Linked DNA regions of Drosophila melanogaster. The protein of the gene in region 2 interacts with the protein of the main gene of each other region in a pairwise test. Each region holds a gene or a part of one and is shown on either strand. Other genes may lie near its edges.

The links.
Region 1: the proteins of CG42813 (region 2) and HDAC6 interact in a two-hybrid assay, tested with the Drosophila melanogaster proteins (one large-scale study listed by BioGRID).

The regions. Positions count from the first base shown.
Region 1 is NC_004354.4:15,327,856-15,345,716, forward strand, and holds HDAC6 (histone deacetylase 6), read left to right. Parts: upstream 1-6,622; 5' UTR 6,623-6,795; coding exon of another isoform or gene 6,796-6,819; 5' UTR 6,820-7,101; coding exon 7,102-7,413; exon of another isoform or gene 7,414-7,494; coding exon 7,495-7,625; exon of another isoform or gene 7,626-7,690; coding exon 7,691-7,874; exon of another isoform or gene 7,875-8,116; intron 8,117-8,434; coding exon 8,435-8,706; intron 8,707-8,759; coding exon 8,760-10,167; intron 10,168-10,216; coding exon 10,217-10,849; intron 10,850-10,981; coding exon 10,982-11,069; coding exon of another isoform or gene 11,070-11,119; exon of another isoform or gene 11,120-11,237; intron 11,238-11,771; coding exon 11,772-12,160; coding exon of another isoform or gene 12,161-12,313; 3' UTR 12,314-12,505; downstream 12,506-17,861. Other genes in the region: dah (discontinuous actin hexagon), read left to right, coding at 589-817, 881-1,097, 1,155-2,012, 2,077-2,194, 2,257-2,416, 2,479-2,846; CG9114 (uncharacterized protein), read right to left, coding at 3,172-3,632, 3,689-5,087; CG9123 (uncharacterized protein), read right to left, coding at 12,668-13,136, 13,231-13,307, 13,367-14,125; CG12608 (uncharacterized protein), read right to left, coding at 15,152-15,647, 15,742-15,818, 15,878-16,636; Prp5 (pre-mRNA processing factor 5), read left to right, coding at 17,551-17,567, 17,633-17,861.
Region 2 is NT_033777.3:27,220,197-27,234,034, forward strand, and holds CG42813 (uncharacterized protein), read right to left. Parts: upstream 8,366-13,838; 5' UTR 8,276-8,365; coding exon 7,872-8,275; intron 7,746-7,871; coding exon 7,511-7,745; 3' UTR 6,874-7,510; downstream 1-6,873. Other genes in the region: CG42814 (uncharacterized protein), read right to left, coding at 8,523-9,236; CG31064 (uncharacterized protein), read right to left, coding at 9,621-10,248, 10,372-10,469, 12,277-12,679, 12,739-12,989, 13,052-13,485; CG31068 (uncharacterized protein), read left to right, coding at 13,576-13,838.

The DNA.
Region 1 (17,861 bases), on a different chromosome or scaffold from region 2:
AACTTGGCATATTATAATATTGATATAAGCAAACAAAAAACAACAAGCGAAATGATAAGAAACCCACTATTTTAAATCGAAAGCAAAGTAAATGAAAAACAAAATAGCATAAGTGAATGTAATTGCAATGGAATGATGCAAATATACATAAAATATATATTTAATTTTAAAATCTATGTGACACTCTTTCCATTTCCTCGTTTTGGGTAATTATTCGCATTCAAAAGAAGGGTTTTTAAATAACTTTGTTTTGTTTTTGAAATTGGGAAAATACTATGGTGAACCCAAGTTGTTCAGTTTACATTTCCCGTTGCTCAAACTTATTTACCAATTATTATATCATGGTCAAATATTCTTAGAACGAACGGATGACTTAATTAATGATAATAATAATTTTGAATCAAATTTAAAGCGCTAACGGTTCGGCGAAGTGATATCGATAACACGCGCGGCGTTGCCACCTCACGCCACACAATTTGACTTTTGCGCTAACGGAAGAGGAAGAGATCGCGAGAAACGACGCGTTTAAAAGAGACTGAAATTAATTCGAGAATCAAGGGAAATATATAACAATAAACGCCTGACAAAATGCTGAGATCGTCGGTGCCCGTGCAGCTGACAAAACTGCGAAATAGCGCCGAGGCCGTGGCGTCCATTGCCCGCGAAAAGGGATCCCAAGGTGGCCAAGGACAAAAGCAACAGGTGGACAAAGAGCTATCCACCATCATGGATGACTTGCAGCGGGATTACGGGAATTACAAGTACACGGTATACCGGTGCGCCAGTAAATTTGTGGCGCTGCAAAAGATATTTCACAGTGAGTCAGTCGCGTAGGTGGTCCATTCGAAGGAGTCCCCAAGGATTAACCTTCAAATTGCAGCTGGAAAAATCCCCTACAAGCTGGTTTTGGCCATTTTGGATCGCCATAACTTGAGTGGTGGCCTGGAACTGATGGTTCCTCCATTCCAGTTGACCTCCCTGCTGCACGATGTATACTTTGCCTGCGAGAAACTAGGCCATTTCAACCAGGATGCGAACTATAAACTGGACAGGGCAACCGGGCTGTTGGCCAACTTCTTCTGGAATGTCTACGATCCGTGGGTTGAGTTTCTGGCATCTTAAGAATATGTCTGATATTTGATTGGTTTCGCTAGGCAACGCAGACACTCCATATCCCTGTTAGAGATCAGGATCACCTTCATACTGCTGTGCAAGCTATATAGCAGCGATCACCTGGTGGGCGACATCTTTGGCCTGCTGGCCGATCCCAAGTCGCAGATCATCTCCAGATATGCATTCGAACAGCTCCTAGCCACGCTGAGCAAGTTACTCAGCTATTTGGGCGAGGCCAAGGCCTATGGCGTCCACAATCTTCCGTTGGCTATGGAGCAGTGCTTTGCCCGCTGTCCGCATGGCGTTGGTGGACTGACCGAGCCGCAGTTCCACAAACTCTGGACGGGAGCGGGTGTCCAGACGAGATTCCTGATCTATGGCAATCTGCTGGCACTGGTGAAACGCATCGAGGACACCGAGCATTTGATTCACAGTAATTCTTGTGCCGGCTGCCGCAAGGAGCACATTGTGGGCATACGTTTCCGGTGTCAGGTGTGTAGGGATATATCGTTGTGCCTGCCCTGCTTTGCAGTGGGCTTCGCTGGTGGTCGCCACGAGCCGGGTCATCGGATGTGCGAGGTCTTCGTGGAGGATCAGCCGCCATTGCGTTGGACCCGCCACCTGGCCAGGCTGTGCGGCTGGCTGGTGATGCCGCGCAAAACACAGGAGGAGGAGCGTCGCGGCTTCTGTAATGCGCAGGAGAGTGGGCCCGCCTTGGGTCAATCCGCTGCCACGCCCATTCCCGCAGAGACGCGCAGTGTGCGCAGTCAGTGCCAGGAGAAGGACCGCACAGTTGTCCTGCAGCAACAGCAGCAGGAGCTCTGCTCCCTGACGGGTCTAGCCAGCGAGGCGTCCAGCAGGCTGCAGTCCATCATCGATCGATTGCTTTTGCAAAATGCGTGGGTGTTTTCCCTTCTTTCGCCACACTTGTTAGCCAAGCCTTAAGGTTCTCTTGCATTTCAGGAAGCTGGAAACCCAGCTGCAAACAGTGGCCACCGCATCTAGTTCGGAAATATCGCAGTTTCTGAGCGCCCATCAGTGCTTTCTGCTGCAGATTATCGAGGATATGCGACAGCTATCAGTGAGTTTTCCAAACATTCGGCCCATTTAAGCTGAGCTAACTCCATTTATATACACTTGCAGCATGCCTCAGCGGTAACTTCGCCGCCACCTGCGCCAGCTGCCCAAGTGGCGCCTTCAGCTGCGCCCCTAGTCAGCTCCACGTTCCTTAGCTCCAGCACGCCTCAGCGACAGATGCTATTCGACATGTATGCGCCCGTGGGTGCCAATCTCACGCACTCCAGTAAGAAGAGAACCTTCAACAGAGCCATGAGACAGCTCCACTAAGTTAATCGTTTCTTGTAGTAAATGGCGCCGACTTGAATCGCAGCTATCTGGAGGCAAACAAATCGGATTACTCGCTCAACGACATAAGCTTGTGGTTCGACCAGCGTCGCTCGAGTGTCCAGCCAGGACAAGGACCTGGTTCCCTGCCGGCTCCTCTGCCGCTGCCCATGCCGCTGGGTGCTCTACTGGAACAGCAGCCGGCAAACGGCGGAGATGGCCGCGACACCGAGATGGTGAACTTTAAGCTGCTGCTGCACAAGGTCAAGGAGATCGTCGAGGACTCGTACAGCGATAATGCCGAACTGTCGGCGGCCACGCAAAATCTGGAGAACGTTCTCGATAGCATCATCAAGAGCGAGGAGCAGCAGCGGCGCATCAGCACGTGAGGATCCGGATCGGATACCAACTCCCATCGATTCCAGCCAGACCAAGTCCACTTAGCTTTAAGTTGTAAAGTTGTTCTAAAGTAATCGTGACAAAATGACACAACCGAGTCATGCATTTATTATATCCTTCTTCCTTTTCCCATGTGCTTTAACATTCGCGTAAATGCTTTAATTTGTAAACTTACAACTCTGACAAGAATGCAATACAACAAAATGTTTTTATAAAAATATACAATGCAAAAAACACATTGTTAACAAAGCATTTACATACAAAATATCAACTTTGTAGATTTTCCAATGCAAAGAGAAGAAAAAAAAAACGCATTTACGCCCCATTGTCATCATCATCATCGGTGAATAGCATAGAAGCCAACACATCGCTGGCCATTTGTGCCTTGTGGAGCTGCGTCAGCTGCTCCCGGCGCTGCTCCACACTGGCTGCCGGCTCACTCAAAACCTTCCAGGCGTCCATCTCCTCGAACAGACTGTTTAGCAACTCCATCTCCATGTCGGCAGGCGACATGTTGTGCTCAGCGACCTCTAGCACATTGAGGTTGCAGTGCAGCTGGAGGAGATCGCGCGTCAGGCGATGCAGTAGCAGACGCAATCGATCGTCCGTTCTGGCGTACACATGCCAATGCTTTCCGGGATCGTCGCGAAGCAGCAAGGTGTCACACCACTGTGACTGCGGCTGGCGATTGTAGAAAATACGCTGGACAGGATCGGCGGCGATGTTGGAAGACTGAAAGTGAGACCCAGGCTCACTGTCGTCCAGCAAGTCGGAAGCTGTAAGGGATTATGAGTTAAAAGGGACAACAAGTGGTCTTGACAAAGCTACTCACTCGGCTCCTTGTTTGCTTCCTGGGCTTGGATCAACTGAAACTGCAGCGTGGAGACGAGTAGCTGCTCGAATGTCGTGCAATCCTGGGCCGACTGGAACTCCAATTTCAGGGAGCAACGTGCCGTGTGCGTCATAATAACGGCCAAAAAGTCTTGGTGCAGCGTGGCGGGCGAAAATGTGGGTGCCAACGATTCTGTTTTATCGAGCAGTTTCTTCACATCGAAGGTAATGAGATGGATTTGCCTAGGGGATGCATCCTCGCCCATCTCGTACGTTGCCATCAATATGAGTTTCTCTGCCTCAAGAAGATCGACCAGACGCAGGCTCACTACCATCGCGGCAGATCGTTCCGGCGGTAGTATTCTTTCCTTCTCCACCGGTCGCCATTTGAGACGCCTGCTATGCTGATCCTGGCAGGCCCAAAACTGCGCCAGCTGGTCGTAGTCCTCGGGTGGTTGGCCATCCGCCTGCAGAGGCAGCTCGTACAGGCGGTGCTCCACGCTAAAGTCGGTGTGTGGTTCGATTACAACAATCGGATACAACTCCTTGACTATGGTGAGGCGATTGGTGCCAGTTATGTTGACTAGCAGAGTGCCACAAACAAAATAATCGCCGCAGATCCGAGTCCATACATCGCCGAGTCGTCGGAGCGGCTGCTTCTCCTCAAGGAGCAGCGAACGCTGGCCCGGCGTGCCGAAGTATAGAAGGTCTTGGACGTGGGCTAATTCCTTCTGGTTTTGCATTCGCTGGCTGTCGAGCTCGGCTTGGGCGCGGTGCACCTCCTGCAGCAGGTTCTCGAAATCCTTCGCGGGCAAGCCCGCATTTTTGGACGTGCTGGGCTCCTCATTTAAGAAATCCTCCTGGAAATCACAACGCTGACGCTTGCCATTGCCGAACTCCAGTTCCACAACGGCCTGGAAGGAAATGGGACCTTCGACCATCTGGTAGTCCACCACATCCTTGTGATCCGCCACCAGTTCGAAGTTGGCCCCGTGATCCTTGGGCCTCTTTAGGACGACGAGATGCTTCCAGCACTGAATTAACAGGTAGATGCCCTCCCGTTGCCACACAAACTTTCCAAATTTGAGGGGCAAATCCTCCGGCGGATCCAGCATGCTCCAGTCCACCTTTTCGTCAGTGGGTTCCTGCTTGGACAGAAAGGGACAAACCGGTCCGTCGTAGGCCTCCAGTTGGGTGGCTATTTGCTTTAGTTTCGTGACCTTCAAATCGATGTAGTGCACCAGATCCTTGCGCCGGAATTCGTAGAACTTTAGGTTTCTCGCTAAAACCAATGTAGTGGGGTCATCCCGCGGTCGGCCCACGTGAAGATTGGCGCAGAAGGCCAACCGGGCCGGCTGGAGCAGCATCTCCGGCACATTCTCCTGGACAAACGGCAGCATGGATGCGGAAGCCACAAGATGGATGTGGCGCCCTTGACTCGAAAGCCCTTCGAATCGATAGCTATTGAATTCAAGTAGTAGTTATCGATGCGGTGAACGATATTAGGCTATTTTGAAATGGAAAAACCAATATTAATCGAGTTTCGAATGCTCCTTTTAGCGAGAGGTAAGTCTTTAACACCGCATAAACACAATCAGTGTTGCCTAACCAATCTGTGCCCTCCACTTTCTCTCATAATCAAGCAATTTCTCATAAAAAACGCACATCGATAAGCTGATAACGTTGGCCCTCGACTAACACCGATTATTCAACAAGTTGTGTCAATCGGCGGAGCAGCTGATCGTTGTAAGTAGCAAGAAGAAGACGCCACACAAACATTGCACTCCGCTCCGCCCGCGCGTTCTCATTTCCCATCTCTCTCACTCTGTCTCTCGCGCTCACCGTCTCTCTCTCTCGCTCCGCCTCGCAACCCCCACAGCGCTCCACAAACCGGGCCCCACATTCTTGTGTGTGATTTCTGGTTCAGGTTCTGATTTCCCGCGTGTCCTTGTGTGTGTGCGCGCTGCAGTGTCTGTGTATCTGTTACTGTTGCTGCATCTTCTGCATCAACTGCAACGTTACCAAAAATCAAAAGACAATCGCCTGCAAAAGCTTAATTTTGTTGCTCAGTGTTTTAAGTATTAGCTGTTTGCAAGCAGCACACACACGTAAGAAACAACAAGAACAACGATAAAAGACAACAACACAAATGCAGAGCATTTGAAGCGCAAACACACACAAGCATTCGGTGCGGCTGTAAGAGCGAGACACAAAATAAGGCTAATTTATAAAAGAAAAGTGTGCTGCAAGGAATCGATAAATAACGGGAGTCGAGGAGCGGAATAGGAGTAACCAATAAATATAAATACTGTAAATGCGATATTAAAAAGCGACAACAACAACAAAAAGCAGCTGTGAATCACTCCGTCCCGCTCCCCCGCGCTTTCAGTCACTCCAGTTGCTCCACTTCCATATATATTCGGATTTGGACTCCGATTCGGATACGGATTTCGCTTGGTTCGATTCTGTTTTCTTCGGATCGGTTTAGCTTTGCTTGCCAACTCGAAATCCCACAAACATGGTGAGTACTGGCAGATTATTGCCGCCGTTTTCGAGTTGTTTTGGCCAAAAGCGGCAGTGGCAACCAAACAGCAACACCCACACACCACACACACACGTACAGTGCAAGCTTCTTGGCCAGGTTTTGAGCTCCTCCATCGCCGCAGTTCCAATCCGAACTTCGTGGTAAACAGTTGTCCGCTGAAAACGCAGTGCAGCCTCCGCGTGAAGAACGCTCTGAATATACGGTTTCAAAGTCCTAAGAGGTTGTTTATATGAGTCTAAGTACAGCTACAAGATATATTTAAGCTATGCTTTTCGAAACTATCGTGTAGTTGTTCCAAATACAGTGAAACCTCAATGTTCGGTTTTTGAAGTTAAAAAGAAATATAAACATATATTTGAAGTTTACAAACTGTACAGTATTAATTTGAGCAATAAACCCAACAGTCCAGATTTGAAGTTTTTTTGACATGTTTCAAATTTTTAATATTCTAGCATAGTGTAACGTAAAACATGATTAAATGTTTAGCAACAGCAAAAAAACTACATTTTTGCAAATAGTAAACAAAATTTTAAGCAGTTAACCGAAAAAGTTACAGACCATAGATGTTACGCGATATTTGGATACAGGTTTTAATCCAGATTAGTTGCAATCCAGATTCCTAAAGTCCTATGTCAATCGCCGTAATCTTCGATTGAAAAAGGCCGAGAGTTGCTTTTTTATGTGGTAACATTGGTAAAATCTTTCATGCCATTCCACATATGGTTGTTTGGAAAGGGTTAGGTAACTGGATTCTTGAGCACTTGTCTCACCCCAGTGGGCAATCAAATTCGCCTGTGGGAGCAGCACTGGCGATCCATCTGTGCATGAATCCCCGCCAGAAGCTGCGTTGTGTGTCTACCTAGCGGGAAATGCTTACTAAAGATTTAAATTCGTTTTCGCAGAGCCCGCCCATCGTCACGCGACGGAGTGCGCAGCAGGCAAAGATTCAGACACGGGCAATGGCCAGTAAATCGAAGACGGGCACGACAGGGGCGGCGACGGCGGCCGGCGGCACCGGCAGCAGCAGCGGCAGTATCAGCGGCGGATTTAATGCCGCCGATCCGCGAAAGTCGAACAAACCGAACGCAGCGCTCTTGGAGGCGAAACGTCGAGCTCGGAACAACATGCTCAAGAATCAGGGCTGCGGATCGCAGGAGAGCGTCACGGATATATTCCAGAATGTGAGTGCTATCTGACTGACCTCTATCCTCTGTCCTTGTGCAATCCTAACCAAGTGATATTTAATCGTCGCCGACGAAAAGGCTGTCAACAGCAAGAGTCTGGTGCGGAAACCAACGGCACTGATCTACGATGAGTCCATGAGCCAGCACTGTTGCCTGTGGGACAAGGAGCACTACGAGTGTCCCGAGCGCTTCACACGAGTCCTGGAACGGTGAGTATATTTGAAGAAAACGGTACAAATTAAGCTGATATGTATTCCCTAATCTCCTCATCCAGCTGTCGCGAACTAAATCTGACGGAGCGCTGCCTGGAGTTGCCCTCGAGATCGGCGACCAAGGATGAAATTCTGCGCCTGCACACAGAGGAGCACTTCGAGCGGCTGAAGGAGACGTCCGGGATTCGCGATGACGAGCGCATGGAGGAGCTGAGCTCCCGCTACGATTCAATTTACATTCATCCGGTGAGCAAGCGCATCCAACGGGGAACATGGAACAGTGCATCCCAGTGCCTGGCTCCAAATTAGCTCATTTTATTGTATTTGCACTTGATTGCTTGCGGAGATTGCGTTGTTTTTAATTCGACGGCTTGATAAATGCAAATTGGAGCAGATTAGATTAGATGCGACCCATTGCACAGGTACAGTGCGGTGCATAAATGTAAATGGTTGAGTGACTGGCATAAATTATGCAAATGATTATACCTCCGAACTTAAAATGCATTTATTCCCCGATTGTAATTCTAATATGTCTATTCTTGTTGTGATATTCATTATCTTTATATTGCGTGCAATCTTTATTTAGTTTGCTCAAACTTTAGTTATTAATTATTACGACTGCCCGCAGCTTTTATTACTTTATATTTCATTAGCTAAATCCTCCAGCAATCTGAAGCGCACTGTAAATTCGTTAAAATGGGCTGGTACTCATACTATTACATCCTAGATAAGATTCCCGCTGTTTTACTAGCACCGAACTTGTTATATATAGAACACTGATAACCTTATCCGCCTCCCACCCGCAGTCCACATTCGAGCTCTCCCTGCTGGCCAGCGGCTCCACCATCGAATTGGTGGACCATCTGGTCGCCGGAAAGGCGCAGAATGGCATGGCCATCATCCGGCCACCGGGTCACCATGCGATGAAGGCCGAGTACAACGGTTATTGCTTCTTCAACAACGTGGCACTGGCCACCCAGCACGCCCTCGATGTTCACAAGCTGCAGCGCATCCTGATCATCGACTACGATGTGCATCATGGGCAGGGAACCCAGCGGTTCTTCTACAACGATCCCAGGTAAAGTTGGCAATATATGTTTAGTATTCTCATTCATCGTGTGTGTGTTTCAGGGTGGTTTACTTCTCCATCCATCGCTTCGAGCACGGAAGCTTCTGGCCGCATCTGCACGAGTCGGATTACCACGCCATTGGATCGGGAGCGGGCACGGGATACAACTTCAATGTGCCGTTGAATGCGACGGGTATGACCAATGGCGATTACCTGGCCATTTTCCAGCAGCTGCTGCTGCCGGTGGCCCTGGAATTCCAGCCGGAGCTGATCATCGTTTCGGCTGGCTATGATGCGGCGCTGGGCTGTCCGGAGGGTGAGATGGAGGTGACGCCGGCCTGCTATCCGCACCTGCTGAATCCGCTGCTGCGACTGGCCGATGCCCGGGTGGCCGTCGTTCTGGAGGGCGGCTACTGCCTGGACTCGCTGGCCGAGGGTGCGGCCCTAACCCTGCGCTCCCTGCTCGGCGATCCTTGTCCGCCGCTGGTGGAGACAGTGCCACTGCCGCGTGCGGAACTCGCCCAGGCCCTGCTCAGCTGCATTGCCGTGCACCGACCCCACTGGCGATGTCTGCAGCTCCAGCAGACCTACGATTGCGTCGAATTGCAGGATCGGGATAAGGAAGAGGATCTGCACACGGTACTGCGCCATTGGATTGGTGGACCACCGCCTATGGATCGTTACCCTACGCGCGATACGGCCATTCCGCTGCCGCCGGAAAAGCTGACCAGCAATGCCGCTCGTCTGCAGGTGCTGCGCGCGGAGACGAAGCTATCGGTGCCGTCGTTTAAGGTGTGTTATGCCTACGATGCCCAAATGCTTCTGCACTGCAATCTCAATGATACGGGGCATCCGGAGCAGCCGTCGCGCATCCAGCACATCCACAAGATGCACGACGACTACGGTCTGCTGAAGCAGATGAAGCAACTGTCCCCCAGGGCGGCCACCACAGACGAGGTGTGCCTGGCCCACACTCGCGCCCATGTGAATACAGTGCGTCGATTGCTGGGCCGCGAGCCGAAGGAACTGCATGACGCTGCTGGGATCTACAACTCGGTGTATCTGCATCCGCGCACCTTCGATTGCGCCACCCTGGCCGCCGGTTTAGTGCTGCAGGCGGTGGACAGTGTGCTGCGTGGCGAGTCCCGCAGCGGCATCTGCAACGTCCGTCCGCCGGGCCATCATGCCGAGCAGGATCATCCGCACGGCTTCTGCATTTTCAACAATGTGGCCATTGCGGCGCAGTATGCCATTCGGGATTTCGGTCTGGAGCGTGTGCTGATCGTCGACTGGGACGTCCATCACGGCAATGGGACGCAGCACATTTTCGAGTCCAATCCCAAGGTGCTCTACATCAGCTTACATCGCTACGAGCACGGCTCCTTCTTCCCGAAGGGACCCGATGGCAATTTCGATGTGGTGGGCAAGGGAGCCGGCAGGGGCTTCAATGTGAACATACCCTGGAACAAGGTGGGTTTTTGCACACTTACGGGCCCAACTCATTCCACTCACTTTGCAGAAGGGCATGGGTGACCTGGAGTACGCACTGGCCTTCCAGCAGCTGATCATGCCCATTGCGTACGAGTTCAATCCGCAGCTGGTGTTGGTATCCGCCGGATTCGATGCTGCCATCGGCGATCCCTTGGGCGGATGCAAGGTGACGGCCGAGGGCTACGGCATGCTCACCCACTGGCTGTCGGCTTTGGCCAGCGGCCGGATAATCGTTTGCCTGGAAGGTGGCTACAATGTGAACTCCATTTCGTACGCGATGACCATGTGCACCAAGACGCTGCTGGGTGATCCCGTGCCGACGCCCCAGCTGGGAGCCACGGCGCTGCAGAAGCCACCAACGGTGGCCTTCCAGAGCTGTGTGGAATCGCTGCAGCAGTGCCTGCAGGTGCAGCGCAACCACTGGCGCTCGCTGGAGTTCGTCGGACGGCGGCTGCCGCGGGATCCCGTTGTGGGCGAGAACAACAACGAGGATTTTCTTACCGCCTCCTTGCGACACTTGAATATCTCAAATGACGATGCTACGGCTGCGGCGGGCGGACTCGCCGGCGATCGTCCCGACTGCGGCGATGAGCGGCCCAGCGGGAGCAAGCCCAAAGTCAAGGTAAAAACGCTCAGCGACTACTTGGCGGAGAACAAGGAGGTACGAGGACAGCACTGCGCTTATCCCTCAGCTGGCAACTAATCGCTTCTTTTCGTGCCTTTCTTCATCTCGATCCCATGCCCTGCAATCTCTGCCCCTCGATCCCGTTCCCGATCCCCATTCGCGTGTCAGGCCCTCGAGCAGAGTGAGATGTTCGCCGTGTATCCGCTCAAGACGTGTCCGCACTTGAGGCTCCTACGTCCGGAGGAGGCGCCCCGATGTAAGCCAATGCAGTCCGGAGAAGATTCCCTCCCCTTTTGGTCAAGATAATAGCACTTCTTAAGTGTGAACAAGTTGTCAAGAAAAATTCAGTTATTGAATCTCTTTGTATCTTTGTATTTGTATGCTGTGACCCATAAAAATAATTGGAAAAATGGTTTTATGACTCAAGTTAAGTCTTCAATAACGTATTTAACATTTTATATAAATGGGGAAGTTGTTTGAAATGCATATAGTGAAATACCCTATAAATCTGAAAAAATCGGGAAATACTTTACAGGAAGTGCTATTATTTTGACCAATTTTAAGGACTCTTCTTTCTTATAATGTTCATCGTTTTCTTTGCTTTTTGTGCTTAAAATTAGCAATTGGCTATTTTTCTAAATTACTTATAACTGCTTAATGGTTTATGTGCATATGGCATGCAATCTTTTTGTGCTTGGCGGCTGTTTTTTCTTTCAGTATCCTTGCGTTTATTGCATTTTTTGAAAAGGTTTTTTGCTTCAATCCTTACGTTTTAGCAATGTAACTTTGGGTTTTAACCAAAAATCTGCCGTGTGATTTGCTTTTATCTAACTTTATCTTAGTTTAAAACTTTAGAACATTTGATATATCGCCTGCATGTGAACAGCTTCTTGAGCTATACGCTACTCAATCCTGACACAACTAACATACTTTCTCAACGATTTCCCATCCAAATCAGCACTAGACAGCGGAGCGGAGTGCAGCGTTTGCGGATCGACGGGGGAGAACTGGGTGTGCCTGAGCTGCAGGCATGTGGCCTGCGGTCGCTATGTGAACGCCCACATGGAGCAGCATTCAGTGGAGGAGCAGCATCCGCTGGCGATGAGCACGGCTGACCTGTCTGTGTGGTGCTACGCGTGCTCCGCGTACGTGGACCATCCCCGCCTGTATGCCTACCTCAATCCGCTGCACGAGGACAAGTTCCAGGAACCGATGGCCTGGACACATGGGTGTGCGTGGCGCGAGGATGGCTGCTATGCGACGGGGCCCGATGGGCGAGATGAGGATGACGATGATGATAATGGCGCCGGTAGCAGCATTTGCCTGCGACTGGAGCGCAACAACTGACCCTTAGCCATCCGCGTGCTGGACGCCCTCACGGACTACTTGTGCGCGCTCTGCCCGCCACTAAGGCACCTAATCCATTTCCTGGCCGAGCACCTCTGGCCGCTGCTGGAGCGCATTTACCTTAACCTGTTGCACTACTTCCTGGCCCACTGAGCACCCCATATCCAATCCTCTAGCCCGCACCCACAACTGATCTGAAAACTGCTGCAACTGGCAGCCGGTCGGTCATCCCCTGGAGATCCTGGCACCAGTCACCATACCATTTATACAAATGCAAATTGTTAAAGTTATCAACTAATGATCTAATAAATAATTCAAGTGTTTTTTGAGTTTATTTTCGAATACAGTTTCTAGTTTCGTTAATGAGATCGAACTTCTTAAGTTCAGAGGTATTTATTCATAATTCTGTTCATCCCAGCCAAATCGACAGTTCATCCACGGTTTTATTTAATCTATATTTCTAGATTAACTCAATATTTGTTGAGTCATAACGTTGGCTACTAAAAATTACTTCTTTTTCTGCTGCTTTGCCTTCCCCTTAGAAGCTGGAGTGGGTTGCTGCTCGCGCTTCATTGGCTTCCTCTTCCGGTGGCCGTGATCACTGGAGACATCGCTGTCGCTGTCGGAGAAGTCGTCGTTCTCCTTGTCTTCCGATGAGTTGCTTTCTTCTGAGGATTCCTCGTCTTTCTTGTTCTTCTTCTTTTCCTTCTTCTTCTCGGCATCCAGTTTCTTATCCTGCTCGTACTCGATGGTCACGAATCCCCGAGGTGCTGCCGGCTTGGCACTTTGGTCAGACTCCACTTTCGCCTTTGGTTTCTCCTCCACTTTGGTGCGTTGTTCCACCGGTCGGACGTTGCCGAACTGGCGGAGATCCAGCAGGCCCAAGTCGGTGGGTCGGCAGTCCATGAAGCTGCGGGCAATCTCCTCCAGCTTGCGCGTTTCCATGTCGATCTTCCAGACTTTGATTTGACCAGCGCTGGAAAAGATAAATTTGTATATATAAAAACGAATAATGTGATGGGTGTTCTTAGTTATCTGGGTGTAGCTTGGATTTTTATAGAATAACTCACATGGAGACGGTGGCCAGGAATTCGTTCAGATAGGCGATGGCCTTGACCCTTACCTCGTGTGCAAGAATGAAGGTGGGCTGCAAAGAAAGCGCATTTAAGTATCATAGATAACAGGCTGAGAAAGTGCAATTCTTACTGGTGTATCATCCTCGTCCTTGAGGGAAATCCAGGCAATGTTGCCGTTGTCCAGGCCAGTTAAACACTCGTTCCCATCCAGCCAGGTGATGCAAATGGGTTTCGACGGCATCTCAATGCGACGCATAACATGGGCGTTCTCGATGCCCCAGATCTCCAGAACCAATGGACCGCTCAGTGTGAAGTGATCGCCCTGCTTGGACCACGACAAACAGCCCGTTTGGAAATCCAGCGTAGCCTTGTTCTTTAAATTGGTCTTGTGGGCGACGCAGCCATTGACCAGATTCCAGGTGTTCAGCACCTGGTCGCCGCCCAAAGATAAGGCCAACTTGCTGCTGGGATGGCAACTGACATGGGTGACGGCCTGGCCGGCATGGGCCTTCTGCCAATCATACTCTTTGGTCCAGCTGCCCACGCGTGTGGCGATCATATGGCCATCATCGCTCCCGGAGAGCAAGAGCGACAGGTCAGGCGTGAATTTCAGTGTGTTCACTCTTCCGGCGTGCGAGAGTATGATCTGCGACTGTTTCCGCGTGCGCATGTCGTAGACGAAGATCCTGCCGTCGGTACCGCCACTGGCCACCCAAGGCCACTGCACGGCCAGCGATGTAATGGATCTTGCATAGGAGCTGTCTGCAAAAGTCTGTTTCAGCTCGAATTTGACGGAATCGGTGAAGCCGTCAGTCGGCGATTTGATGAGCTTGAAGCCCAGCAGGAGCTCCTCGTTGGTGGCCTCTATGATCTCCATTTCCGGCGGCATGGCAGCGGTTTGAAATGAAAATGGAAATGGAAAATTAAATGGATTTGTCGAATAAGTCACTAAATTCTATTCAAGAATTTATTTCTGCTGTCAAAACGTGTTCCAGCGGCAAGGACTATTCGAAGTTAGAGGCGGAGAAACTTTTTACGCCAACATCGATGACATCGATGTTTTCGAAATATCAGAAACATCGATGTTTTTCTAGGAATGTTAAGAACAATTGCTGGAGGATGAAAAGGTTGTCACCAAATACTGCCTTTTTATTTAAAATATTAAAAAATAATCCTTAAATAAAAAAGATCAATGATCGAAAAAGATTAAAGATAAAAAAGATTGTTTATATTTTATAACAACATCTATGTTTTTCGCCAAAAACATCGAAACATATAAATAATTTGAAAAATGGTTTTATGTCTCATGTTATATATTCAATATCGTATTTACTATTTTATTTAAACGGGAAAGTTGTTTGAAATGCAAATAGTGAAATACCCTATAAATCTGAAAAAAATCAGGAAATACTTTACAGGAAGTGCTATTATTTTGACCAATTTGCTTAATGATTTATGTGCATTTAGTATCTTGTGTTTATTGAGTTTTTTGAAAAGTATTTTTATTGAATCCTTACTGAATTGAAATCCATGCGAAAATTACGTTTTAGCAATGTATCTTCGGGTTTTAACCAAAAATCTGCCGTGTGATTTGCTTTTATCTAACTTTATCTTAGTTCAAAACAGTAGAACATTTAATATATTACCAGCACCAGTCACCCTACCATTTACACAAATGCAAATTGTTTAACAATTTCAACTAATGATCTAATAATTAATTTAAGTGTTTTTTTTAGTTTTTTTTTTCAAAAACAGTTTCTAGTTTCGTTAATGAGATCGAACTTCTTAAGTTCAGAGGTATTTATTCATAATTCTGTTCATCCCAGCCAAATCGACAGTTCATCTATGGTTTTTTTATCTATATCTCTAGATTAACTCAATATTTATTGATAGTCATAACGTTAGCTACTAAAAACTACTTCTTTTTCTGCTGCTTTGCCTTCCCCTTGGAGGCTGGAGTGGGTTGCTGCTTGCGCTTCATTGGCTTCCTCTTCCGGTGGCCGTGATCACTGGAGACATCGCTGTCGCTGTCGGAGAAGTCGTCGCTCTCCTTTTCTTCCGATGAGTTGCTTTCTTCTGAGGATTCCTCGGCTTTCTGTTGCGCCTTCTTTGCCTGTATCTTGTTCTTCTTCCCCTTTCCCTTCTTCTTCTCGGCATCCAGATTCTTATCCTGCTCGTACTCGATGGTCACGAATCCCCGAGGTGCTGCAGGCTTGGCACTTTGGTCAGACTCCACTTTCGCCTTTGGTTTCTCCTCCACTTTAATGCGTTGTTCCACCGGTTGGACATTGCCGAACTGGCGGAGATCCAGCAGGCCCAAGTCGGTGGGTCGGCAGTCCATGAAGCTGCTGGCAATCTCCTCCAGCTTGCGCGTTTCCATGTCGATCTTCCAGACTTTGATTTCACCAGCGCTGGAAAAGATAAATTTGTATATATAAAAACGAATAATGTGATGGGTGTTCTTAGTTATCTGGGTGTAGCTTGGATTTTTATAGAATAACTCACCTGGAGACGGTGGCCAGTAATTCGTTCAGATAGGCGATGGCCTTGACCCTTGCCTCGTGTGCAAGAATGAAGGTGGGCTGCAAAGAAAGCGCATTTAAGTATCATAGATAACAGGCTGAGAAAGTGCAATTCTTACTGGTGTATCATCCTCGTCCTTGAGGGAAATCCAGGCAATGTTGCCGTTGTCCAGGCCAGTTAAACACTCGTTCCCATCCAGCCAGGTGATGCAAATGGGTTTCGCCGGCATCTCAATGCGACGCATAACATGAGCGTTCTCGATGCCCCAGATCTCCAGAACCAATGGACCGCTAAGTGTGAAGTGATCGCCCTGCTTGGACCACGACAAGCAGCCCGGTTGGAGACCCAGCGTAGCCTTGTTCTTTAAATTGGTCTTGTAGGCGACGCGGCCATTGACCAGATTCCAGGTGTTCAGCACCTGGTCGCCGCCCAAAGATAAGGCCAACTTGCTGCTGGGATGGCAACTGATGTGGGTGACGGCCTGTCCGGCATGGGCCTTCTGCCAATCACCCTCTTTGGTCCAGCTGCCCACGCGTGTGGCGATCATATGGCCATCGTCGCTCCCGGAGAGCAAGTGCGACAGGTCAGGTGTGAATTTCAGTGTGTTCACTCTTCCGGCGTGCGAGAGTATGATCTGCGACTGTTTCCGCGTGCGCATGTCGTAGACGAAGATCCTGTCGTCGGTACCGCCACTGGCCACCCAAGGCCACTGCACGGCCACCGATGTAATGGATCCTGCATGGGAGCTGTCTGCAAAAGTCTGTTTCAGCTCAAATTTGACGGAATCGGTCAAGCCGTCAGTCGGCGATTTGATGAGCTTGAAGCCCAGCAGGACCTCCTCGTAGGTGCCCACTATGATCTCCATTTCCGGCGGCATGGCAGCGGTTTGAAATGAAAATGGAAATGGAAAATTAAATGGATTTGTCGAATAAGTCACTAAATTCTATTCAAGAATTTGTTTCTGCTGGCAAAACGTGTTCCAACGACAACGACTATTCAAAGTTAGAGGCGGAAAAACATTTTAGGCCAACATCGATGTCTTCGAAATATCAGAAACATCGATGTTTTCGGTGAATCAGCGATGTTTTTTCATCTCTATTGCTCATCGGAGAATAAAAGCGTATAAATTGTAAGTATAAATTAATTTTTATATATTCTAATACAATTATTAATGGCGTATTGCAAATTTAATGTGACTTGTTGGCTGGCGTCGTGGCTGTATAAATGTATTAGTCTCGTTCACTTTTCCATTGAATTGCATTATTTGGTATGATTTCCAATATGTATGTTTATATATGTTTTCTAAGAACAATTACTGGACCAGCGAAAAATGGGAAGGTGGACACCAAACGCAGCATACTGCAATATTAAAAAAGAAAATTATCTTTTAATCCTTAAAATATCCTTAGATAAAAATAGATTAAAGATAAAAAAGATAGTTTATATTTTATAACAACAACGATGTTTCTCGCCAAAAACATCGAAAACATCGATGTTCGCCAACAGTCTGCTTGCAGTCACTAGCAGTGACGGACCGCACCGTAACAGAGCTGTTAATGCTGTAATCGATAACTTTGATTGGCACTTGTGCGATATCTGACGTTTAATAAGTAGTATTTTGTGATATGTTGCGAATGAAAATTCGCTAATATCTGTATAAAAACAATTGCATTCTACTGCGCGCCGTGTCCGGGTAACTAAGGGCAGTGGGAATCGCGCATAGCCAGCACCGACCGTCATTTGGAGGCGTTGCATCGTCAAACCGGCGAACAGAAATCCAAAGAAAGCGCCATGTCGAAAAGTTCCGGGTAAGTTTTGCCTCATCAAATTGTTTGAAAACAGATATACTAATTGCTTTATTTTCCCGCAAAAGGCGCGATCGAGACAGGGAGCGCGACCGGGAGAGAGAGAGGGAGCGCGACCGTGAGAGAGAGCGCGACAGGGATCGTGAGCGGGACAACCGGCACGACAGTCGCAGTCGCGACTATGATATGGGCAAGTCCAGGAACGGTGGAGGCGGCGGAGCCGGTGGTGGCTCCCGGAACATGCGCGAAGACCGGAAGCGCGGAAAGGACATGATCAGCGATCGTGGAAAACGCGAC
Region 2 (13,838 bases):
TCATTGAACTTCTAGATGGAAAGGAGTGTGAGATATAATTCAGCTTCGATTCGGTGTGAGACAAAAGGTTTAAAGGGCGCCAAGCAGTTTAGTTCCACTTGGTGGCCAGACAAGGTTATATGAGGTCCCAAAACAATTTCCAAGCCAACTAAGATGTTGGATGAGTAATGCGGTCCGTTTACATTTTGTTCCCATGAAGAAAAATATTTAATTTGATTGCGGTTTTTATGTCTTCATTAGCCAAATGCTTGGTAGGCAATAAATTAGAGATTTCGGCTCGGAGGCTGGCGGCTGTTTTGGGTTAGATTTTGGTCTTGTATCTACCATTATTTCTGGTGTGTTCGGCCTGTAATGCGGCCGATGCCCATGCCCATGCATGAAGATTAACACTTGATTAATGAACTCGATTATTCATAATTTGTTGCTGGTCGCTGCTTTATCTCTCTCCAATGCCCACAAATAATTGAAACATTTTGCGACTGCTGCGCATGCGCACATTCAATGCTAATGCAACTTCGATTTCAAGATCATTAAGCGCTACACGGACATGTACATGCGCTTCCTTTGGCTGGCATTATTGATGATCGCAAGGAAATAAACAAAAAGCTGAAAAAAAATAAATAAATAAAATACCCACACATCCACACTTGGATGCTCCTCGAGGGGCACGCACCTGTGTGCGTGTTAGCTGCACATTTGAGGTACGCAACTCGTCAATCAGTTGACCATGTGCAACCGGTTTGTGCTCCACTTCCAGTTAAATCTTCTCCCGATTGATTCCACATACCCTCAGATACTCTCATCGCGGGGTTAGATCAGCTTGCCGGTATCGTAAGCACTCTTTCACGGAAAGATATGCGATCTAGAAGATTACGCCTGTTAACCACTCATTTGACGTGACTATTCAGAGAAGTAATGTCAAAACATGATTTGTACAAATTATTTGTTATAACAATAACACTAGAAATCTGCGATAAGAAATACATTTTCCATTTCAAAATCTCTGAGGTACAAAATATTTAAGACAAGATGTTTTTATAACAAAATACTATTTATAGTACTTAGAATTCTATTTGGCATTAGAATATCATATATCCCATATATCATATTTCAGATTTAATATAAATTATTCCTGGCTTTATTAAGTTTATTAAGTTCTTGAATTGAAAGCACATTCAGTCTTCGACTGACACCAATTAGCCACACAATCGAGTTCACTTTTTACTTCAGGTTTTTTTATTTAACCATTTTTTTTTTATTATCTAAGCATGTGTTGATTTTTCCCGGACTCGGCGGCAGCGCTTTTCCAACTGTCAACGGCGCACAGCCGTCGCGTCGAATGATTTGCAGATTCTGTTTGACAGTTGGTCCGGTTTTTCATTAATGAACATGAGTCCACGGCGGATCGATGGCCGAAAGGGGAGCGACTAGGAGTGGAACACACGCAATGCATCAGTGGATGGGCTTGTTTTGATTTATGGCCACATAGGAATGGGGGTTGGGAGGAGATGTCCGGGCGGCCAGGAGTGTGGTAGTAAGTAAGGGGTTGATCGCTCCGCCAGTCGATTGCTCGAATATTTCGTCAGGCTCCAGACTCCAACTCGATTCTGTTTGATTTCGGTTTCGGCTTCGGCATGAGGCTCCCATCGCAGCGATTCAACCCTAATGAAGATAATTTATTATGCGATGCCGTTTAATTAAAATCAGATAACCCAGCCAAACCGACCAGAAACAACGATCGCTGTCCGTTCAGCTCAGCTCACCTCGGATCAACTCGACTCCTTCAAAATGCATACGAAGTCTCAGACATTTACAGACTTCTTGCCAGTGGAAGTTGGCCCCTGGCGAAATGTGCTGCCGTTTAGAAGATACACTCTTTTTTTTCCTGAGATTTTTATAGACAGTGGAACCAAGGCGAGTTGAACTCTATGTGTTGTATGATATTCTTGAGATTTGGCCTAAATAAAATTGATCTGAATTTCGATTTATAAGTAAAACTCTGATTGACCATTCATTATAAAGATGTTTTTTGATTGAGAATAAGGCTTCACTGTAGTTAATTTCCCAGACAGAAAGATTTCGCGTTAAGTTCAACAACTGGCAAGCGGCAACAAAGTTGTTGCGGTCAACGTTGTCGTCGAGATCGCCGCCGAATCACCGGATCGCCGGACGTCGCCGGTGGCAGCTGCCCGAATACCCGAATCCCCGATCCGCGGACCGCATCTTGCCATCATCATGATTGGTATTGGTTCCTTATCAGGATCTTGTTTAGGCCATCTCGGTGCTTTGTTGATTTTGACTTTGACTTTTAATGCGCCATTACTTCGGTGTGTGTGTGTGTGTGTGTGTGTCCGTGCAGGCGGCCTTCCCTCCGGCTTATCAGCCAGATCAGGCCAAGTTTCACTTTTCCCTTGCCGACTTCCCAGTCTGGCCGTCCTTAGTCATCGATGTATCTGTATCTGGTGGGCTTCTCGTTGGATTGCTTGTTTTATTGTTTGATATGCAAATGATTTTTAATTGTGTGGTCGCTCCTTCTTGTTAACCCTTTAAATGCTCACGTGACTTATTCGAACGAAATTCTACCCAAAAAAAAAAGAAGGTTTCCGAATCATCTAAATCTCGATGTAGATATATCTTATGAAAAAGGAATGCTTTTCAGTAATAATTTAATATAGACTAGAAAATGAAAACAATATAGGGAATAGGTTTAAATGGTTAATACGGCAGAAATGTCTGAATAATCATTGCTAATTAAGTTCCAGTCCTTGTGAATTTACATCCACATTTCGGACCACACAGATAGCAGCAGATGAGTCACTCAACGTGGCTGCCAGTTTAACTAAAACAACTAATTAAAGCCCAACGGCAAAGTTAATTCGTATCGCCCCATTTTGGCACTTTCTTTGTGGTTTTTTTTGGCGGCCTGCGGTTTGTGGTTTCTCGAATTGCGCTCCAAGGGGGCGGAGCACACATCTAAGTCGGCTCTAACGAGTGGCTAAGAGAGTTTTCGACGGCAAAAGAGGTAACCCATTTAAGAGCAGGCCAAGAGAAATCATTGGAGAAACAGAGAATGGATCGAGACAAAGAGAGCTTGGTAACTTGAGGAGGCCAAAAAGTGCGCGTAATTAAAGTTGGCTTCGAGTGCAAAAGGCCTGCAAATCAATCAGTTGGGCAGGTGTGGCGGTTTTGGAGCCACTGGACGACGGGTTTCCTTGCACGGAAGTTGTCCGTGGTGTGTTATGTGCTATGTCGGAGTGTCATAAATCAAGGCAAAGAGTGTGAAATTTTTTCGCCATCTGGGCCGACTTGGCCGGGCTTCATTAGTATTTGCTAGCCATGTCCAATATGCCGCGCTCGGTCGGCATTTTTAACCATTTATGACTTAATTTCAATTATACGCATTTGGCCAAAAATATTTCTTCGCACTTGGCAGGCAATTAAAATGACAACACGTGCAAGGGGCCAACCACAGTGCCGAATTTCTTAGTGAGGCTGGGAAATGGATCAATATTTAAAGGTTAGCGGAGTGGCGATTAATGTTAAGGCTGCTCTTGTGAGAAAAATAAATCTGGCAAAAAATAATAAAATAATTCAAATTGGATAAATAGTTAAAGCAATAGTTTAATTACGCAAAAAAACATTCAATCATTGCTCTGTGTATTTTGTATGGCACTGAGCTAATTTCGTTTCTCATGGCGAAATCAAAAGACTTAAAACACGAACTAGCTATTTCCACTGCTGTGCAAAAACGAACTTCAATAATTATTAATTCTAAACTGATTCGCTGTTAATAACCATAATTATGTTCGCCTGTTGTATTGTTTTCAGGCATTGTGTAGCCACTTGACACACATTTGTGGCAGTTCTTGTGCCCAATCTGTCGGATGCCGCACCTTGCGGAGCACATATCTCCGGATCTCGGCGACCAGAGAGCAAGGTGCAGGAACAACGCCCCAAGAAGCCCTCGACCCCCAAGCTGGTGGCATCGATTTTAGAAAGTCCATGGAACAGTGCAACGGTAAAGCCGCCAACGGAGCCTTTTCCTTTTGGCCACTGGCGCGTCAGGAGCGGAAAAGCAAAACTTCGGGCCGAAATCCGAAGCCTATATATAACTCGATGGCAAAGGCAGCCGCATAAATTTCATTGCAGACATTTGGCCTTTTATTAATTGTTTGACGGCGCCCGTGCCCATGAAGCGGGACATCCCTCCCCACCTCCTTTCGCTCCGCAGCTCCTCCGATGCCTCCTGCTACCCTACCCCACCCACCTGTAGGCACCGACAAGAACGAATCCCAGGTGAAGCGGCAGCTTCGGGAGCAGCCACTGCAACTGCATTTTCCTCTCTCTGGGCGTGATGAGAAATTTAATATTGGCAAACGGATAAAACCGCCAGATAATTATACATTTTGAGTGGGCAAAGCTGCGGCCGCGGACTGCAGTTCGGAGTCTTTGGTTTTGGTTTTGGCTGCAGATTCAGCTACAGCTTCGGCTTTACAGTTCATGTGCCTCATGATAGTATAAGATTTCATTTCATTAAAGTGCATCACGACGGACAACGGCCAATGGACGGTAGGCGGAATCAATGAGCGGCGGCTACATAGTTTCCTCCGAATCCCCGCCAATGGCCAACCCAATTCCATTCCCTGCTAGGCAGCTACCAGTACGGAACACTGAAAGAAAATGCTACTCACTTGCCTTGAAGAGAATAAACCAAAAAGGAACATGATTATGAGACATCATGTGATACCTTAGTACTAGAAACTTTTCTATAGAATATAAAGTGGTTGTTTTCGAACTATTATTCCCAGTGTACCTACCTCGCTTACTTTTCTTCTTATTGGCAGATTACGACGGCGGGGTGGCCGGGCTGTAGCTGGGCAACTTATAATCAAATCCGATAAAAAATTTCATTATTGCTCCACAGCAGCAGCGGCAGCAGAAACAACAAAAACCATAACTGTTTTACAGGTAATTTTGCTGTTGTTGTTATGATTGTTGCTGGCTGCACTTAATTTTCGCATGCGCACTGGAAACCGAGCCATGATCGCGATTTCTTGATCTTCCGTCTTCCCATCCCATCCCAGAACTGAGCGGTCTCCCCACCGCCCCCCCAGATCCGACCATGCCCCGACCATGTGCGGACGCCATTTTACGATTGGGATTGGATTCTCAGGGGCCAGAGCTGCAAAGCTATAGCCCCCCAGCCACTGGAGGTCAGTTGGGTGCGCAGGAATAGAAAGACGCTTTGATTCGAAATGGCAATCTCTGGGCTATCGCCGCTCCGGCTGCTCCGGCAGCACATAAATTGGGACGTGATTATGAAATAATTGCAATTCTGTACTTCGGACTTGCGCAACTGAGCAAAGCCAAAAGGTAAAGTCACACGGAAAATAACTACGAATTATTTGAAACGAGATAGCATTTAAATTTATACATTATTGTGTTTAAATAATTTAAAGTGGGTTCTCTTTCTTATACATTTTTCTGATTTGTCTGCATACATTTCAAGCATATACTAATTTATATTTATACTGATATTTTTCTGAGTGTAAAGGCAATCAGTTTGTGTGATGACTTCGATTTGCACCTTGGGGAGCAACAGCGACCACTTCAAACGGCAGCAGGTGACAGGCGACAGATGGGTTTCAGTACGATGAGGAAGCAACTGCAACTGTAACTGCAACTGAAGCAGCATCTGCTGCAAACGCAGCGGCGATAGCTGCAGCCGTAATGGCCTGCTGCCGGCGAAACTGTCGCCAGACAAATCAAAAGAAATCGCTCTGGAATACGCAACGGCCATTAAATTAGTGCAAAGGAGACGCGCTTTCATTCATTGGAGGTTTCAAGGGAACTGAAATGAACAACACAGTCTAAATTTGGTTTTCATAAAAAAATATAAATTATACATTGAATTAAAGAAGCGAAATATGTTAGACCCATAATTCATAATTCTTCTTCATTTCATTTTCCATAACCAGTTCAGTCCTTCACAAACCTCAACCTTTGTAGAGCCACTGTGGCAACAGTTTGAGAGCGACTGCTTTCGTGACAAATTCCTGTTGTCGACATTACACCTGATCCACGTGGAACTCCCTCAACTCATTTGCATCCTCGATTCCCCTAAGGGGACTCCTGGACAGCCCGGTCGTCCGCCAACATATGCAAATTAAATATAATTTCAACACTCGCATTTTTGTTGACTCCGCTGCCGACGGCTCCTCCGCCTCGAGTCCATAATTTACATGAGGTTAACACGCAAGCGAACAGCAGACAACAACAAAGAACCGGCCTTGATTATCAGCGGCAAATCGAATGCACGTACATGCGAAGGATGCAGGAGGGGATTTGGGAGATGGAGTCGGAGCTGAAGCTGGAGCTGGAGCAGGGGTATATGGTACAGGGACCATTGCGTTGGAGCAGGGGAGATCCGCCGAAAAGGAAGTCAAGTCTGAATAGGCCAAAAGAAATTCTATTACAATGTTGAAATATTGCCAAATCATGGCTCTGGGGTAAATAAATTTCCACGCCGCCACTCGCCATGACCGCTGAACCGGGATGGATGGAAATGGAGGATGGATCCGAGGCTGGAGGATGGATAGATGCTGGTGCACGGTAAATAATTGCGTGATAAATGAAAATACAAAAGTATTGTATATATCAGTAACAACTAGAAAGTATATATATAGAAATATATCATCTTGGAAAGTGATGATTCATATTTCCTGCCTTTACAATGGATTTTACAAACTATAATATCAAGCAATAAGACAAAAAGACAAAATAATATCATTTTAAGCTAATAAATTGAATGAATGAACGAATGAATGTATAGATAGATATAAGGATGATTTCCTAGCGGCGCGATATTTCTTTCTCTGTGATCAGGAGTACCAGGAGCGTTCATGGAAGCTAAAGTCCCTGGCCGTGTATAAATAAGTAACCTGATCCCAGCAACACGCTGCCCGACAGGGGCCCAAAAACGGCACACAGCTTCGCTTCGCTGCGGATGGGATGAGATGGGTATGGGTATGGGTATGGGTCCTCCACAGTACCAGGTCCCATCCCATCGCATCGCATCGGATCGGATAGGTTTAGATCGGAGAAAAGCGGAACCCGTTTGGAGCTTCTGCGGCAGCAGCGTCTTGCGGCATTTTGATTTATAGGCGATTTATGCACTTGGCAGCCGCGGTGGGAGTGGAACTCGCAGCTGAGATGGAAGTGGGAGAGACGTCTTGACCGAATTCATGAGCGGACAGCTGGCCAGGGTTTATTACATATTACACGGTATACATATCATAAGGTAAGCCTCGACAGGCACGGGAATTTCAGTATTATATCGTGTGCGCTAGGCGCACTCACAATGCGCTCGGTTGGAAAGCATTCGAAATGGTTGGTGTTGACTAAAAGATGTGTATAAGGCAACGCTGCGGATGCGGACGCATCTTATCATCTTATCATCTTATCACGGCCGCCGCTTATCTGGGTGAATCAACAGCAACAGCGTTCGCCTCTAGGCCTTCGCACCGGGTGCCCTGTTGGCGAAGAACCACATCAGGCCCATCAGGCAGCTGGGCGGGCTGTTGTTGACGGCTCCCTGTTGGATCATCCGCTTGGCCTCCTCCAGGGACAGCTCCACCACCTCGATGATCTCGTCGTCGACGCCGCCACCACCTGTGGCCTTGTCCGCATCGGTCACCTCGCAGTAGTACATGGTCTGCTTGGCACCCGATGAACCAACTCCAGATCTGCAAAGGATTGAGTTGGTTATGCATCAAGCAAGTTGTGAAGGATGGATTTTGAAAAATCAATTAAGATATTTAAAATTGTATATTCTATTCTATTTATATAACAATATATGCACACCCATTTACCTGTAGACCATGACTTCCTCAATGCGTTCCACGGGCACATCGTAGCCACACTCCTCGACCACTTCCTCCCGAGCGATTTCCACCCAGCTTTTGTTTTTGTCCACGATGCCGGCGCACAGTTCCAAGGTGACACCGATGGCGGGCGGGAACTCCTTGAGGTCCACCTCATCGAAGGTGCCCTTGGCGCTGGAGATGATGCCGTGGTAGACGGCGGGTCGGAACTGGCGGACCAGGACCAGTTTCTGGCGAGAAGTGTTGTACAAGATAATAGCCACACTATCGTGGACCTTCAGCAGGTCCCAGTTCTTCTCCACGCCATTCTGGACGTAGTACAGCCGGAAGGGCTTTACGTACGGCGAATCCTGGGGCAGGGGACCCAGCCAAATCTTGGAAACGTTCTCCATGCTGAAAAAGTGGACTTGGTGCACGAAAACACGGCAGTGGCAATCAGCTGACTGCGAAAGCTCCAGCCGGCGGTGGGTAGCCACAATCAGATGGCAGCTTTTATCTCGGGAGAGCTTTTTTTTGACGTTTAATGCCAGGCAGCAGATGGTAATACTATTCGAATTTGAAAAGTTCGTTACAACAAGCAAAATAAATTAATTAATATATTAGCTAATTAGTATATTTAAAGTGTTTAACCCTACTATGCTAAGCTAAAACCTTGGGTGCCTTGTGCTGAAAGAACCAAAGCAGACCCAGCAAACAGGATGGTCCACCATTGGTGGTCGCCCCAGTTTGGACCAGCTGCCTCGACTCCTCCAAGGACATTTCTAGCACCTGGATTCGCTCTTCTCCAATGCCACCGCCCGCCGAGACCTTCTGAGCATCACACACCTCGCAGTAGAACAGAGACATGGCACTACTTGAGGTACCAATACCCGACCTATAGTCGTAGACATGCTGCAGGGATTCGGTGGGCACCTCGTAACCGCACTCTTCGAGGACTTCCTCCTTGGCGATCTCCGCCAGGCTTTTGTCCTTGTCCACGGCGCCACCGCAAAGTTCCAAAGTGACTCCTACTTCGGGAGGAAACTGCTCCAGATCAGCTTCTCCCTTGGACATGTCTGGTGATCCAGCCGAATGTATTCCCTGGTAAACTGCTCCCCTAAATTGACGCACGAAGATTAGTTTTTCCCTCGCTTTGTTGTACAGAATCACGACCACACCATCTATGGTTTTGATAATGTCCACCTGTTTCTCCACATCGTTTTCGATGTAGTGAAGTCGACCTGGCTTAATCCAATTCGAATCCTTGGGCATCGGACCAAACCAAATCTTTGAAATACAACTTGGCTGGATCTTGAAGCCCGATTTGGCTGACGAGCAGCAGGAGCGACCCAAACTGCCCAGTAGTCTTAACATGTTTTGTGTTTTTGAAAAGCATTTCGATGGTTTTTAAATAGTTATGAATGATTTTCCAACGTTTGTTTGTTTAGTTTAATAAGTTTTGTAACACAATTTTAATAATTTGTTTACACAACTGCATAAATGTACTATAATATACATATATCCCCAAAAAGGGTATTAATCATTAGGTCAAGTGGTCAAAGGTTGCGATTCTTGAAGGGGCGGTTGACATCAATAAAATTTAGGAATATTTCAATTATCTCATTATTATTACATACGATACGAGCACAATATTACCATTAAATGGAACAGGATGTTTGCTTATAAATATTCAATCTCGCCCGCCCCCACAACTCCTAGTCGAACCAGTCACCCATGTCCAGCATGCAGAGCACATCATCATTTGGCGGCATAGCAATTGTCACACACACGCACTGGTTTCCCCGGCTGACCCTGGGCATTGAGGAGGGGCAGCGTGTGCTCCGAACAGGCCTTGCAGAAAATCTCGCCGCAGCTGCGGCAGTGGTGCTTCCGTCGCGTAAGATTGAACTCCCGCTCGCAGGCGGTGCAGTGGGTGGCAATGGAGTCCGGTGCCCAGATCCCCGGACTACCCACCGCCTCGGGCATGGCTTGCAGCGATTGGGCGGAGCCGGAGAGCAGCTGGCGCTGGCGACGCTCCTGATCCTGCATCTCCGACACCTTTAGTTTGCTCACGCTCAGCTGGATGCCGAGCTCCTCCAGTGTCGTTTGTGCCTCCGACCATTGCGTTCGCACCTTGTCCAGATCAGCCTTCAGCTTGCCATTCCTCTCCTTCTCCTCCGACAGTTCCTTGAGGCAGCCCTGCAGATTGGCTATCTTCTCCTTTAGCTTCAGCTCCTTCTCCTGCAGCGATATCCGCCACTCGCGTTCGATCCTCGACTCGGCCTCCGCCCGGGCAGCCCGCTCCTCACTGGCGGTCACCTGGGTGGTCAGTGTTTGCGACGTGGTCTTGAGAATCTCCCCCAGGTTGCTCTTATCATGACTCCACCTGCGGAGGGGAAAAACAGGGGTTTATGAGGATTTCTTTATCTTGCGTATATTCGGAAAGTAACTTCATGATCCAGAAGCTAACAAAATTAGCTCCGGATCAGTACCTTCCCCGCCATCTTACTTCTTCTCCAGCTGATCGATGGTGCTGGCCATGTCCTCCTTTTGGACCTCCAACTTGGTCATCAGCTCCGTTTTGTGCGTTAACGACGCCTTACAGTCCTGCCAACGAAGAAAATAATCGGATGTACCAACGTTGTTGTAATCTGTCGTCGTTAACTTTAATCTCGATGTTAGTATGGTGGAAAATGAAAGACTTGAGGTTCGGATAAGTTTTATTTCTCTGGGTTCGATTTGGAGGAGTACGTGGATTAGAATATATGCAGAAGTTCCAACGCGTATAGTACATTGCATGGATTTGTAGATTCATATAGTCTCGATATTTATTCATAGTATATAATTACAATAATATTATTATTTGTATTTGACTAGACTGAGTGTATAATTACAATATAAGCGATTGCGTGGGTATCCCATACGTACATACATATGTATAATAAACATCTGAAGCCTCTTAATCACACTATACATATATACAACGACGTATGGTTACAATATAATCGTACATATATAATCTTTGTTTACGGGGACTCTGGGTAGATAATTTAGCTAACAGGTTGCATACATAAGTTATTCAAAACAATTCTGGTATCTGGTATACTTTCCTCTAAAAGGATCTGGTCTACGGAGTAAAGGCATCCTATATATGGTACACACTGTCTATGGTGTTCATTTAGTTGTGGTCTCCCGAATTGAGAGTCTTGTTAAGCAGTTTGATTTCCCTTCGGCACCTGGATCCGGACTTTGAGTGGCGATCCAGGTCCTTGGAATGTTGAGAGCAATGCAGGCCGTTCCGATTTTCACATGCTAACTTTAGTGGACTGATCTTTGGATCAGACATTACATAGATCATTATTTCAAAGAGGATCTCTTTAGAAAGCCAAATAATAGTTGAACAAATGAATTTATGCTTAGGTTTAAATGCAGTCAGGCACTAAATACATTGAGTAAATATATTAAACTAGTTTCAGATTAGATTTCAATTAAAAAAAAAAACGAACAAGTTAATACATTTATGTAGAACTCATTCTGTGAAAACCGAAACTGGCCTTATAAATTAAGTATCTTAAGTATTCTTATTTAGCCTTAGCTTAGCTTAAGTTTCTCCATCGGCGGCCTGCTCGCGGCACAGGACATAATCGCTTTGGGATGCATCCACCCCAAAGTGCTGGGTCACCGCAGCCGCCGCCTCGGCTAGCTCATCGTTCAGGGACTTGGCGGACGTGGGCGTCTTGGCATCCTTGCTCTGCTGCAGTTCCTCCGTGTTGGGCGCATCCGGCTGGCGCGGTGACTTGCGATACTTGCTGGGATCGAAGGGCGGAAAGGCGTCCATCTTGAGATGCATACGCTTCATGGGCGGGCCAGCGTCCTGTTTGTGCTTCTTGGTGAGCGCCTCGAACTTTTCCAGATTCTGCTGTCGCCGCGTGTTCGGCGATCGGTCTCCGCCAATGGCTCCGTTCCCAGCTCCAGTTCCTGCTCCAGTGCCCGATCCCGATCCTGGTCCATGGTGTTGCTGGTCGATGAGCTTCGATTCGTATTTCTTTTCTAGCGATTGTAAAATGTTACCAATTTGTGAGGCTTTCGTTTGCAGGCGCGAGACCATCTCGCCCTTCTGTGTGAGTTCATCTTCACATTCCTGGTTAAATTTTAGACGGGATTACTTTTTGACTTGAAGGCTTAAACCGATTTACTTGGAGCAAATGACTAAACTATAAACCAAAGCTTAAAACACAAAGTGAAATGATACCAGAGCTACGAACCAGATGAGCGAATGAATGTGGATAGATGAGTTGTGAGCAGTGTAATGAGTGTAATGAGAATGAGTCATTTTGTTTGTCCGCCCAGGAAATCAAATGCAGATTACCCAGACTCCAACCAAAATAGACCCACCCTGATGATGACTACTCACCTGCAGCTTTCGGTACATCTCCAGGTTGATCTGCTTGATATCGTCCAGCTGGCGGCGCAGTGAGACTATCGTGTCCTGCTTTTCGTGAATATCCTTCTCCAGCAGTTTCATGGCCATGTCCGATTCCGCCTTGAGGGACACCTGCAATTTGAGCTCCTTCTCCAGCTCGCTGTTCTTGCGACGCTCCTCAACCAGCTCTTCGGACGCCTTCTCCTTGTCCTTGTCGGATGAACCACCCGAACCAGTTGAATTGTTGTCCCCTGCCGACGTGGACTGTCGCATGGCCTGGTTCTCGGCCTGCAAGGCCAACAAGCTATTCCGAGCGATTGCCAAATCCTCTTTCATCAGGGCATTTGTGGTCGTTAAGGACTCTACTTTGGCCTGCAGATTGCCCACAGTGGCGCTGAAAAATGAGGAATAACTTAGCTGGGGAGGCACTTCATAACAACAGCCGAAACCCACTTTAGATGCCTGTTGAGCTCCTCAATGTAGTTCTTCTGGTCCAGCACCGCAATCATGTTGCCCTGCCCAGTGGCATCCAGCAGAGCAGGCGGAGCACTGTCTTCTGGAGCCGCATCGGCGTTTCTCGAGCTTGAACGCAGGTACAACGAGAAGTCGATGACGCCCTGCTGTGAGTCCAGATCCTCCTCCTTGACGCACAGATTGCAATCGATCACGTTTAAGCCCACCAAAATGCCCATTATCACAACGATCTGAAGCAGGAAGAGATGGATGGGTTAAAGGGATTCCTTGAGAAGATTGCGCGCAGCCTAACCTCATCGCTCATCATCAGAGCATGTGGCTCATAGTAGTCGAAGAGTGAATCCTCCCGGTGCTCGATGAGTGCCTGCAGGTAATCCGATAGCTTCTTTTGCATCAAAGCGATCCTCAGCCAGGCTCGAGCGCGGCCAATGTGGGTACGAACGGTGGGCAGATCCCTTACACTCGCCGTAATGTCCTGCGCCTCCGGGCAGTAATGCTCGACGCTCTGCAGCAGATCCCACAATTCCTTCCTCGGTCCCAGCAGACCCTTCTTCGGGCGCAATCCATGCCCCAGGACATGCTCGATGACGATGAAGAAATGCTGCAACGGCAGGTGATCCGAGTCCAGCATGCGACCATAACGCAGCGACTGCTCCAACAGCTCCTTGACCACCAGCTTGCAGATATTCACCAGATTACTGCGCTCAATTTCCGCCGTGTCCCGGGCTGCAAATGGAGGAACGGTGGTTCCCAGATTAAAGACTCGGCCGGCGCAGAAATTTGCTTCAAAACAACTGACAACTGATTAACTGAGTAATGAAACTTCATGTGCTCTCCTGGCTGCTTTTCTTTCTGGCACCCGGGGGTTGTCCCATATACAGCATCGACCTGGCTACTTTGGAGGTGCCCACAAACGATTTCCAAAACGAACTGACCCTGCAATCCATGCTCAGCTCGGAGCTGCGGGATTACCGCAATGGCCTGATCGAGACGGTCGATGAACAGGTGACCAATCCTCCCTATTCCCCGCCGCGCAGATACCAAGAGCATGAATGGTTTAAGGATCTGCCCAACGAGCT